Linked DNA regions of Sus scrofa. The protein of the gene in region 3 purifies or fractionates together with the protein of the main gene of each other region. This does not show direct contact. Links are inferred from orthologs where the notes say so. Each region holds a gene or a part of one and is shown on either strand. Other genes may lie near its edges. The genes, in order: CSGALNACT2, XXYLT1 and SLC30A1.

Region 1 (3,598 bases), on a different chromosome or scaffold from region 3:
GGATCCTTTGTTGCTGCGGCTCTGGCATAGGCCAGCAGCTCCAGCTCCAGTTAGACTCCTAGCCTGGGAACCTCCATATGCTGCAGGTGCGGCCCTAAAAAAGTGGAAAAAAAAAAAAAAAAACTTTTGACTCTCAGGTGTAGAATTTAATATTGCTAGAAGTAATTTCTTTATTTTCATCATTTGATTTCTGTGTTGATAGGCTCCACTATTAAAAAGGTCATATGTTGAAAAGAAACATTGTCATTTGGAGCGTATTTTATAGAGTAAATAATATAACAGAGTGGGGAACATTTTTTAACCTCTCCTTTTATTTATTTTTGGAGGCCATGCCCAAGGCATGTGGAAGTTCCTAGGCCAGGGATCATACCTGAGCCATAGCAGTAACAACGCCAGATCCTTAACCCACTGAGTCACCAGGGAACTCCTAACCTCTCTTTTAAAGAAATAGTTGTTAATGACTGTACCAGGGGGATAAAATTCTCACAAATAGATAAAAACCCTGCAAGTCTGTTTTCATACTTTTGATCTTTGAGTAAAATCAGTAGTCATATTGAATTCGTAAACTTTGGCATGAAGACATCTTTATCCTAATTCTTTCTTTTAGGTTATTATCGCACGGAGAGAGATAAGGGCACACAGTATGAACTCTTTTTTAAGAAAGCAGACCTTATGGAATATAGACATGTGACCCTCTTCCGCCCTTTTGGACCTCTCATGAAAGTGAAGAGTGAGATGATTGACATTACTAGATCAATTATTAACATCATTGTGCCTCTCGCTGAAAGGACTGAAGCATTTGCACAGTTTATGCAGAACTTCAGGTAACTCTGAGGGCTTAGCAATTTGGCTAAGTGCTTCTACAAAGAAGCACATTTAATGCCATTTTATTTAATCTACCTTCATTGAGTATGATTATTTAGAGTTGTAGAATAATTTTATAGGCTTTGGAAATAATTTATAGGCTTTGGAAATAATTTATAGGAATAATTTTATAGGCTTTGGAATAATTTTATAGTCCCTTTTTTCTTAAAGCATGTATAGTATATTGTGACTGACAGTTTGAACTATGAAGTAAGTCGAGGGTGACACTATTAGAAACAAAATTTGATCACCTTTATCATTGTGTTTGAATTTGTTTTAGAACAGGTTGAATTTTGAAAAATAACTTTTTTGAGGCATAACTGACATACAGTAAATCCACATGTTCTAAGGATAGAGATTTCATGACTTTTGACAAGTGTATACACTCATGTAACTGCCTCTCCAATCAAGGTATAGAACATTGCTGTCGCCTCAGAAAATTCCCCTGAGAACCAATTGAATTTTAAAATTGAAGGAAATTTTAGAAATACAAATAAAAAAAGCATGCAAAAATGGGAGAACATTATTCCTTCTTGGGAAGCAGAGACTATAACAGTTTTTAAAAGAATTTTTTCTTTTTTTGGTTATTACATTTGGATATTTTAAAATTCTAAAATGTTAAGGAATTAACAACTACGTGTTAGGGTAAGTGGGGAAAGTCGAGCTTTTTCATTTTAATTTAACAGATGTCATGTTTTTAATATTCTAATATGTTAGTTTTAATGCTTTGTAACCCCAATCTTTGTTCTCACTGAAGTTATTGGGTATAAAAGCCTAAATCTGTCATATAATATCTGGAAGCTGCCAAATGAGTTTTGCCTTTTTGAAATTGCTCTCTTGAGATCTGATTTCCTAAGCATTTTTAATTGCCTTTCATGAAGTTCCTGTCATATGCTATGTTATTCTTTACAGTTTATAATCTCAATCATGGCGAATATTTATTCCTTAATGATCGGTATAATTTCTGGAAATAGCCAGTCTGAAGACAAAATAACTCTTGACCTCAAATTTGAATTATTTATTTATGTGGTTTTGAACTGATTAAACTTATTTCCTTGAATAGCTTATAATTTGTTTCTGAGGGCAATATCAAAGCAAAAGTTCCAAAAATGTTCTGAAATATGGCACCCTTTTGGGTTGCTTACATGGCCGTCTAAGCATTGCATTCATTTAGACATATATTATTATGTGTTTGCTGTGATGCCTTTAATAATTCAGCAATATTGCCAGTTTTATATTTATTTAAACCTTCATGTGATTTCATTCTAAATGAGTAATGCTTATTTTCTTGTTAAAGCTTCATGTGATTGCTTTCAGAATGAGTAGTGCCTTATGTATTTTTCCGAATGAGCTTTATTTTTTCAATTCTTTTAGGGATGTGTGTATTCATCAGGACAAGAGAATCCATCTCACAGTGGTGTATTTTGGTAAAGAAGGACTATCTAAAGTCAAGTCTATCCTGGAATCTGTCACAAGGTTGGTGAGCCATGTCCACATTAAAGTCCTTGATATGTAACACTAGAAGAATGAGAATTTCAGATACTTCATGAGTTAATAATTTTGAACATCTGCCATTTAAAAGTTGGTTGAGCATGTGAGTGGTGGTGGTAGTGAGTTCCTCATTTCACCCCTAAGTGCACTCATGCATCTCTAAAAGACTCGTCTTCTCCTAACCTCTTGGCAGACAGCATGGCATGACTAGGGTGCTCTCCCTCTGCAGCCCACTCACCTTCTGTATATTTGCCTCCATTTATTCTTTATTTCCTTCTGTTGACTCTTGCCCTTTTTCTCACTCTAATCCCTTCACTTTGATATCATCTCCTGAGCTTGTCTCTTACTTGCCACCTTTATTTTCTTTCCTTCCATTTTCCTAAGTTCCTTGTCACCCTGTAAATGATGCTTAGGTATCCCCTATCCTTAAGAGACCCCCACTTGACTCTACAGTACCCCATAGCTACTGTTGGGTTTCTGTCCTTCCACAGCTAAACCTCATAGAACAGTAATCCTCTAACCAAGCAACTCCTATAGTACCTGGCACATAGTAGGTGCTCAGAGGTTTGAATGAATGAATTAGTAATTCCTTAATACTCTATTATTAATTCTATAGCTTCTCATCCTTTTCATCTCTAAGTTATGAAACAAAGTTATAACCTAACTGCCAAATTCAGCCTTTACTCTGTCATCCTCTTTGACTGCTTTTTTACATTTGATAGCTCAGCAGTACTTCCGTCTTAAAACTCTCCTCTGATGTTTGTAAATGTAAATATTTTATAAATGTAGATATGCTAAAATGTAAGATATTAGGTTGTCTTTTCTGACCCCATCAACTCTGTATCCTTTACTTGCTTCTTTACCTTTCTGCTAGTTGTGGCCATTCCCTAAGAGTCCAGATTTGGCCGACCATTCTCGAATCGTTCAACTAACATTCACTGAGTCCTACCGACTATGTTCCAGGTACACCGCTTGGGAGTCTGACCGGGGTGGTTGGGATAGGACTGGGTGCAAAGGAGGAAACTGTAGTCCCTGCCCCAAAGGGACTGTCATAGTATTGGAGTGTGAGAAACAAACATTGTCTGGGCCTCCCCCTTCACTAGCTCCTCCTCCTGATGGCCCCCTTTCAGTCCTGACTAGGACCATCTCATGATCCCCTGGGCTTGATGTCTGAGAGCAAGTGTGTTTCATTCATTCTTCCCCTCTAATTGGTCAATTCCTGTGTACTGCACGGGGCCTTTAC
Region 2 (4,145 bases), on a different chromosome or scaffold from region 3:
CAAGTTCACTCTGCTATTGCGGTCCCCACTCTGCCCCGCAAGGTGAGTAGTATGTTGAGTTTGTTGCCAAGACTGCTTCGGAAGTCCAGTATTATTCAGATAAATGTTGCTCCAGTTGAAAAGAACAAGAGTTAAAAATGAGATGAATTGTGTTCTGGGAACCCAGTTGAGAAATAATGGGATGTTACAATAAATGGGCGGAGGGAATTTGTGTGTGCCTGTGTTTTCACCTGCACCTCTTTCAAGCATGCAGACCCTTGTGCATGTTTACTTATGTAGTTGGCAGTGTCCAACTATACTGTCAAAACTGCCACTGTGTGACCTTGGACGAGTGACCTCAGCTGTGCCTCAGTTAGGAATTTCCTGGAGTTCCTGTTGTGGTTCAGTGGGTTAAGGACTTGATGTTGTTTCTGTGAGGATGCAGGTTTGATCTCTGGTCTTGCTCAGTGGGTTAAGGATCCCACCTTCCTGCAAGCTGTGGTCACTGCTGTGCTGCTGTTTCCATCTCTGGCCCCAGAGCTTCCACATGCTACAGGTGTAGCCAAAAGGAAAAAGAATTTGCAAAATTACCTGTTACATATTAAGTCTTTTTTAAAATGTTTAAGTTTTTGTTTTGTGTTTTGTGTGTGTGTGTGTGTGTGTGTGTGTGTGTGTGTGTGTGTGTGTGTGTTTAAGGAGTATCACGATCTTTGGTATTACTCCCCTTCAGAGCTCTGGGCTCCTCTAAATTTTGGGCATTTGGGCCCCCCTGGTGGCCACACCTTTAAATTGCTTCCAGTGGGCCTCAGAGTTGCAAGTGAGGTGGGCAGGCGATTTACACCTTGGTTGTCATTCCACCTTCACTGAGAATGGGGAAGGAGTGGCCAGTGTAAATTCTTTAGCCCCAGCTAAACTCCAAGGTGTGAAAGGAGTCAGAGAGAGGACTTGAGGCCTTCAAGAAATTAGAGGAATAACGGTATAAGAGAAAAATGTTTTTTGCCCAATTTAGTCTTTTGAGTAGCCGAGGGCTTAGCTTTGGTTTCTAGCGTCTGGGGCTGGGCACTTAAGAGGGCCATTTTTCACAGACGGTATAGCCAGCTGGCCTCTCTGTCTTGGTCCTCACCAGATCCTCTGACCACCTGGGGGATGGGGGTCGGGGGTCGGGAGTGAATCCCGTGAACTCGCGGCACATCTCGGCTGTAATCCTTCCGAGCCTAGGACCCAGCGGCTGCAGGACAGCCCTGGCCCCGCCTCTCGAGCATCAGCGCTCGTGGATTGGCCCTCGGCAGCAAGGCTCCGCCCCCGCCATGGCTGCCGCCCGCCGACTGAGCTACTAAGTGGCTGCCGGGGTATTGGTCTCCGCTGCAGTTTCCCGGCTGCTCTGTGTCGGCGGGCTGGTGGCGCATGGGTCTCCTCCGAGGCGTGCCCCCATGCGCTCGGGCCATGGCACGCCTGGGCGCTGTGCGCTCCCACTATTGTGCGCTGCTCCTGGCCGCGGCGCTTGCGGTCTGTGCCTTTTACTACCTCGGCTCCGGCCGGGAGACCTTCTCCAGCGCCACCAAGAGGCTGAAGGAGGCCCGCGCCGGGGCCCCAGCCGTGCCCTCGCCGCCGGTGCTGGAGGTGGCGCGGGGCTCCGTGGCGCCAGCCCTGGGTGCTAAGGCCAAGAGCCTGGAGAGCGGCGGGGCTGGGCCGGTGGACTACCACCTGCTGATGATGTTCACCAAGGCGGAACACAATGCCGCGCTGCAGGCCAAGGCTCGCATCGCGCTCCGCTCCCTGCTGCGCCTTGCTAAGTTCGAGGCGAATGAGGTGCTTAACCTGCACTTCGTGAGCGAGGAGGCCAGCCGCGAGGTGGCCAAGGCCCTGCTGCGAGAGCTGCTGCCGCCCGCCGCCGGCTTCAAGTGCAAGGTGAGCAGGGGCCTCAGCTGGAGGCTCCGGGCGGGTGGCTCTGTCAGTGCGCGCGCCCCACCAGGCTCAGGGGGTCGGGAGGGAGGCGACTTCGCTGCGCTGCCTACTGTCAACGCCAACTCGCACCCTCTCCCCGAAGTGGACTGGAGGCATCGTCGGGGGCGTGTCCGGGTGGGTGCCTCGGCGTTAGCTGACTACCCTGACCTGGTATCCCCCTTTAACTGTGGCCCCCTTGAGAATCGGCACGCCCCTTCCTTACTAGCGTTGCAGGGTTCACTGGTGAGTGCCTTCCAGTCTGCCCCTCTTTTTAATCTCCTCCAGTCTTTGGCTTTTGAGGATGGAACAGGTCATTTGAAGCACCAGTATTCTTCTGCTGCAGAATCTGATAGACAGGGTCGTAGGCCTCTTGAATTCTTGAAGTTACAGTGGCATTTCTCATAGCTCCAAGGTATCTCAGTCGGAACTGGTCAAGCTCCAGTGTGAACCACCTCATCTCCTTTATGTGTCCCTTCTCCCCCACCCTCTAGGGTCATGAGCTCATTTAGAGAAGCAGAGGGTTCTTCCCAGGGAGGAAGAGAACGCTCCAGGAGGTACAGATAAGATCTGGGGAGAGCAGGGCAGAGCTAGTCATTGGACCAACCTGCCTCCTCATCCTCTGGCTTCACCACCTGGCTCTGCTCGGGGATTCCTAGCTTAGTGTCAATGGCCTCAGTTAAATTGCTTGCCTCCTTTTAACCTCATGGTTGCACAGAGGGGACTGATTTTGGAATAGGAATAGTAGGTGATCTTAAAAGATGGAGCCTGATGGTGGGGGGAGGGGTGGTGAGGGGAGCTGATGCCAGCATCCTGCAGGCCTCCAGGTCTCTTGTTTGTTGACTACAGAATCGATTTCTGGGTGGTGGGCCTGGCTCTCCACTCCAACCTACATTTTTGTCCTTCCTCTGCATGTACCTTAGATCTTAATTGTACTGAATGAGCCTTTATACAAGCTCTCTTCTCCACCCAGAATGTCCTTCCTTCTCTCCTGGGCCTTTGGCCACTCTTTGCTTTCAACTCCCCCAGGAATGTCCATAGACTTAGGGACAATCTGTGCCCAGCCCTTGACAGATCTCTATTCCAGCTTCCCCTGCCCAGAAGAAATGAGCCCTCCAGGAACACCCACCGTAGTCAGAGAGTCCATGATATAGAAATCCAGGTCCTGGAACTTGTGGCTGGAGGGGCCCCAGAGACCCACTGTCTCTGTTGGGGTTTTTCAGCCTGGGGCTCAGTTTCCCTAATTGCAGTCTCTGGGGGTGGCCCTTAGGATTCTAATGTTTGAGAGATTCTGTGCTAGTCCCAGGGAGCAAACCAAGGGCCCTTGATCATAGGGCCAGTCTGTGCAAAACTGGGATTTGACTGGCTCTCCAGACATCAGCTCGAAGACTGTCATTGTCATCGCTTCACTTTCTGAGTCAGAGTTTGTAACTCCCGCCTACTGTACCACATTGCCAGGGCTCTACTGTCTCCTTGAGCTCCAGCTACAGTGTCTTGTCACATACCCTCTGCTGTCCGGCCTACCTGCCCCTTCTTCCGTCGTTCCACTGGCAGGGTACCCTTACTCTCTGCATCACTGAGAGTTGCCCATCTTCAGATGCCAGCCCCCCCCTTGGAGCCTTCCAAAGAATCCCCATCTGAAAGACACGTCTGCCTCTTCCTTGCATACCTCCCTGTGCTGTGACTACAAGACGTCTTATCTCCCATCCCTATGCTGGCCATGCAGCAGAGGCACGGAGACTACTGGTCCAGGGCAGGTCCAGCCTCAGGACCAGGGTTCCCTTCTTGGAGTTTGTGTTTCATGCTCTGACTCCCTTCCTCTGCTGGGCCCAGTTCTGACAGCCACAGCCATTGCCCAAGGCCTGAGGCAGCTGCAGATGGCCACAGGGAATTGACACCACCCCTGCTGAGGCACCAGGAATGGGGCTATGTTCATATAAGGACTCATCACTTCTAGCTAAAATGACTCCTATTCCTTTTGGATTGTTTTTTTGTGAACCTATTCTCTGTTTGTGACAGAGGATGCTCTTTTTTCTTTAAATGTGTTGTCCTAAAAGATTCGCCTCATTTTATTTGTCATTGAATTCTTCCTTGGGTTTGGAATATTCCTGAAAGGAATGCTTCTCTTGGAACCACTTCACACCTACCTTTCCCTCTGCTTGGAGACTGCCTCCATCCCTGCTCCCCATCCTTGACTAGTACTCTGCTTTCAGGTCTCAGTGTAA
Region 3 (4,192 bases):
GAAATATACGGCTTCACGCAAGGTCTCCTGGGGATGGTGGTGATGCGGGTGCTTCGCTTTATTGAAACATTTACGAAGATTCCCTTCATCGCCTCGCAGGACCTCCTCGGACTAACTCAGCTGGGTGTTGAGCGGAGTCACAAGTTGCGTGCTGCCCTTGCTTTCGAGTCCGTCGGCCTAATCTCGGGGCTTTTTGACAGGAGGGCCCACCCGAGGGCCCCGCACACAGGGGCTCCCCCTTTCGGCCCTTCCCAGGCTGCCGCCTGTCACAGCGGCCGCGCGGCCCGCCCCACGTGGACCCGGCTCGGAGGATCAAAGTCTGTTTGCTGCCGGGCCCCGTAGGTGTGCTGGGAGCTGCGAGAACCCGCAGCGCCAGAGCAGGAGCCCCGCCACGCCGGGAGGACCCCGGCTGCCCCGCCCCGCCCCTCCCCCTCCTGCTGCACGCGGCCCGCGCCCCCCACCCTCCCCCACGACGCCAGGCGCTGCACCCGGCCGCGGCCCCCGGCCCACGCCCGGCTCCTGAAGGGAAAGGCCCCGCCCCTATCTGTTAGAGCCACGACACCGCCCCCTCCCGCCCCGCCGGGCTCCATCCAATAGTGAGCGCGGATAGGCGGGGCGCGGCGGCTGTCGTGAGGAGGTCCTGGCCAATGGGGAAGCATGCCGGGCCTGGTGGGCGGGGCGGCGAGGCCTTGTCACGCTCGGGTCCGTGTGAAAACGGGGGTTCCGAGTGCAAAGCAAAGTTTTTTTGTAAACCGTCTGCAAAGGCGGGGGGGCGAAGAAGGCGCCCGACACCGGGCCGAGTGCAGCTGCGGTTGCTGCCGCCTCTTCAGCTCTTCAGGCGTCGGCTCCTCGGTCCGAGCCACACCGGAGGGAGACCTGAGAGAGGGAGACCTGCGCGGAGAGCCGGCAGATGCTTGGAGTCTTCACAGCGCAGAGCTGCCCGTCGCCCGCCCGCTCCTGCTCCGGCTCTTGGTCCGCGGGCTCCGGGAGCCCCAGTTCCCCACCTCCGCCGCCCCGCCGTGGGTGTGGGGGCTGCTGGGGCTGAGCCGGGCCTCCGCGCCGGCTCCGAGGACAGACGCCTGAGGAGCTGCGCGCCACCGGCCCGCCGGGGACGCCCGCAGGCGCGGGGGCGCGGCGGCTTGACCCCGGGCTCGCCCCTGTCCGGCGGCGGAGGCCCCACCGCAGGCTCCCGAGCGGCCGGGCTCCGGCGGTGAGAGCCCGGCGGCGCCCTTCCTCCTCCGTGGCCGGGCCGCCGGCCCTCGGCGCCTCGCCGCCGCCGCCGCCGCCTCACGAGTGTCCGGGCCGCGCTCGGCGGGCCCCTAAGCCGCAGCCATGGGGTGCTGGGGTCGGAACCGGGGCCGGCTGCTCTGCATGCTGTTACTGACCTTCATGTTCATGGTCCTGGAGGTGGTGGTGAGCCGGGTGACCTCGTCGCTGGCGATGCTCTCGGACTCCTTCCACATGCTGTCGGACGTGCTGGCGCTGGTGGTGGCGCTGGTGGCCGAGCGCTTCGCCCGGCGGACCCACGCCACCCAGAAGAACACGTTCGGCTGGATCCGGGCCGAAGTGATGGGGGCTCTGGTGAACGCCATCTTCCTGACCGGCCTCTGCTTCGCCATCCTGCTGGAGGCCATCGAGCGCTTCATCGAGCCGCACGAGATGCAGCAGCCGCTGGTGGTCCTCGGGGTCGGCGTGGCGGGGCTGGTGGTCAACGTGCTGGGGCTCTGCCTCTTCCACCATCACAGCGGCTTCGGCAACGACTCCGGCCACGGCCACTCGCACGGGGGGCACGGCCACGGCCTCCCCAAGGGGGGCCGCGGCAAGAGCAGCCGCGCCGGCGGTAGCGACAGCAGCGCGGCCCCAGGGGAGCAGGGAACCGACCAGGAGGAGACCAACATCCTGGTGGCCAAGAGCAGCAACTCCAACGGGCTGAAATTGGACCGGACAGGTGAGGTGGTCGCCGCCGCAGGTGGTTGGCCCTGGGGAGCCCAGACCCCGGGTGGCCCCGGGCGGGGTGGCCCGCACGCCCCCTGGTGCCCAGCGGGCCGCGCCGCGCCGCACCGCCGCCTCGCCGCTCCTTCCCGGTCCCGCGCCCGCCCAGAAGGCGCGGAAACGCAGGTTTCCCCCTTTCAGCCTGGTGTCATGAGCCCGGGGACGCTTCGGGGGTTGGGGGGTGGGTGTAGACGAGGCATCGCGGCTGTGAGAGCAGACAAAGGTCAGGGGTGACCGTCAGCCCCCTGCTGCCCGCACCCCACACTTGGCTGTCTTCTCAGGCTGCCGTTTCAAGAGAGTGTCTGATTTGGGCGTTAGCAGGATCCAAACTGCTTCCTAATTCAATTTCTTGACCCTGTCGGCCCACGGAGAGAATCCCCCGCTGGTCCTTAGTTGTTGGCTGTTTGGGACCTTGCTCTGCCCAAGTAGTTCTGAGGCCCTTCCAACAAGTTTCTTGATGTATCCCGAGCCAGCTATCTAGCGATTGACTTGCCTGAGTTCAAAACCCTGGTTCAAGGTTCTTCTTAAGAACAGCCGTGTATGTTTCAGGTAATTTTCTAAAATCTAAACCAAACCCTGAAAATCTTAGACTTCGGACCTGTCTGGGCATGTTTAACATTTCACTTAGGAATTTCCATAATCATACGAAGATAAGCGATGGTAATTCAGCTTATATTTTTAATGGACAGTTTTCATTCTAAACAGTAAGTGCTTTTGAAGGAAATCTGGGAAATGGGCGTTGAAGGCGACAGAAAAAGGAATCTATCTAATACCTGACTACCCAAGCCCAGGGATGTTAACAACTTGTGTATTTCCTTCTAGATTTTTTCCATATATATTTATTCACCTAGTTTTATGCTACATAGACAGCTTTCCTTTATCCAAGATGCAGGATGTTATGTTAATGAAATTCAGGTTGTACTTTGAAGAGGTTTCGTAAACAACTGCATATCCTCTCACTCCCCCTCTAGTCTGCAAGGTGTCATTCCAAAGAAAATTAAGCTGCTCTGGTGTGTATAATTCTTTTAAAGGATCATTATGTTTGATTTAGGAAGTAGTAATGATAATGATAGTTCCAACTTTTCTTTAAGTCTCTGTGATTGTTGATAGGTTTATATTGTTGATGTGTTAGTTTCTAAACCCATTCCATTAAGAGACTCATTTATATAAATGACAAAAATGTAAAAGTTAACACCTTAATGACAAAAGATGGCTAAAGAACTGTGTCAAATTAGCCATTTGCATTAGACTTATCCATAGTTGCATTTAATTTGGGGTGATAGTGTCCAATTTAGTTTTCCTTTTGGTATATGCCAAAAAGCACACACACACACACACACACACATACAGAAAAGATGAACCTTTTTTTTGAAGTGGTAGTGTTGGACAGTGAGTGGCTAGGAGTGTTGGGGAAGCAATATCATCTTAATGACTTAATTTAGCCTGGCCATTCTGTCCTGGCTTGTTCCCAGTATGTCAATTTATATTAGATTCCTGAGCACATTTTTAAATTATGTTTTGTGAAAAATGTTCACTTCCATTTCTTAAATGGAATTAGGCAAGAATGTTTATATAAACATTTTAGATGTGTGTTTGATACGGAATCTTTATTTCTTTGTAGATCCAGAAAAGTCCAGAAGTGATGCAGTGGAAGTACAAGTGAATGGGAATCTTATCAGAGAACCGGACCAGGTGGAATTGGAAGATGATGATGATAAGGCTGGACAACTTAACATGCGTGGAGTTTTTCTGCATGTCTTTGGAGATGCTTTGGGTTCCGTGATTGTAGTAGTAAATGCCTTAGTCTTTTACTTTTCTTGGAAAGGTTGTCCTGAGGGGGAGATGTGTGTGAATCCATGTGTTCCTGACCCCTGCAAAGCATTTGTAGAGTTAATTAATAGTACTCATGCAACAGTTTATGAGGCTGGTCCTTGCTGGGTGCTATATTTAGATCCAACTCTTTGTATTGTAATGGTTTGTATACTTCTTTACACAACTTATCCATTACTTAAGGAGTCTGCTCTTATTCTTCTCCAAACTGTTCCCAAACAAATTGATATCAAAAATTTGATAAAGGAACTTCGAGATGTTGAAGGAGTTGAGGAAGTTCATGAATTACATGTTTGGCAACTTGCTGGAAGCAGAATCATTGCCACTGCTCACATAAAATGTGAAGACCCGACATCGTACATGCAGGTGG

What was found.
Region 1: the proteins of SLC30A1 (region 3) and CSGALNACT2 purify together in Homo sapiens (co-immunoprecipitation; 3 studies listed by BioGRID and IntAct, counting the BioPlex papers as one, with this or other methods). This does not show direct contact. The link is inferred for Sus scrofa from reciprocal best matches to the Homo sapiens genes SLC30A1 and CSGALNACT2.
Region 2: the proteins of SLC30A1 (region 3) and XXYLT1 purify together in Homo sapiens (co-immunoprecipitation; 3 studies listed by BioGRID and IntAct, with this or other methods). This does not show direct contact. The link is inferred for Sus scrofa from reciprocal best matches to the Homo sapiens genes SLC30A1 and XXYLT1.

The regions. Positions count from the first base shown.
Region 1 is NC_010456.5:61,392,761-61,396,358, forward strand, and holds part of CSGALNACT2 (chondroitin sulfate N-acetylgalactosaminyltransferase 2), read left to right. Parts: intron 1-607; coding exon 608-824; intron 825-2,238; coding exon 2,239-2,340; intron 2,341-3,229; coding exon of another isoform or gene 3,230-3,287; exon of another isoform or gene 3,288-3,318; intron 3,319-3,598. UniProt on the Homo sapiens protein: Transfers 1,4-N-acetylgalactosamine (GalNAc) from UDP-GalNAc to the non-reducing end of glucuronic acid (GlcUA). Required for addition of the first GalNAc to the core tetrasaccharide linker and for elongation of chondroitin chains.
Region 2 is NC_010455.5:132,267,115-132,271,259, reverse strand, and holds the start of XXYLT1 (xyloside xylosyltransferase 1), read left to right. Parts: upstream 1-1,273; 5' UTR 1,274-1,383; coding exon 1,384-1,887; intron 1,888-4,145. UniProt on the Homo sapiens protein: Alpha-1,3-xylosyltransferase, which elongates the O-linked xylose-glucose disaccharide attached to EGF-like repeats in the extracellular domain of target proteins by catalyzing the addition of the second xylose.
Region 3 is NC_010451.4:131,632,267-131,636,458, forward strand, and holds the start of SLC30A1 (zinc transporter 1), read left to right. Parts: upstream 1-1,319; 5' UTR 1,320-1,332; coding exon 1,333-1,948; intron 1,949-3,613; coding exon 3,614-4,192. UniProt on the Homo sapiens protein: Zinc ion:proton antiporter that could function at the plasma membrane mediating zinc efflux from cells against its electrochemical gradient protecting them from intracellular zinc accumulation and toxicity.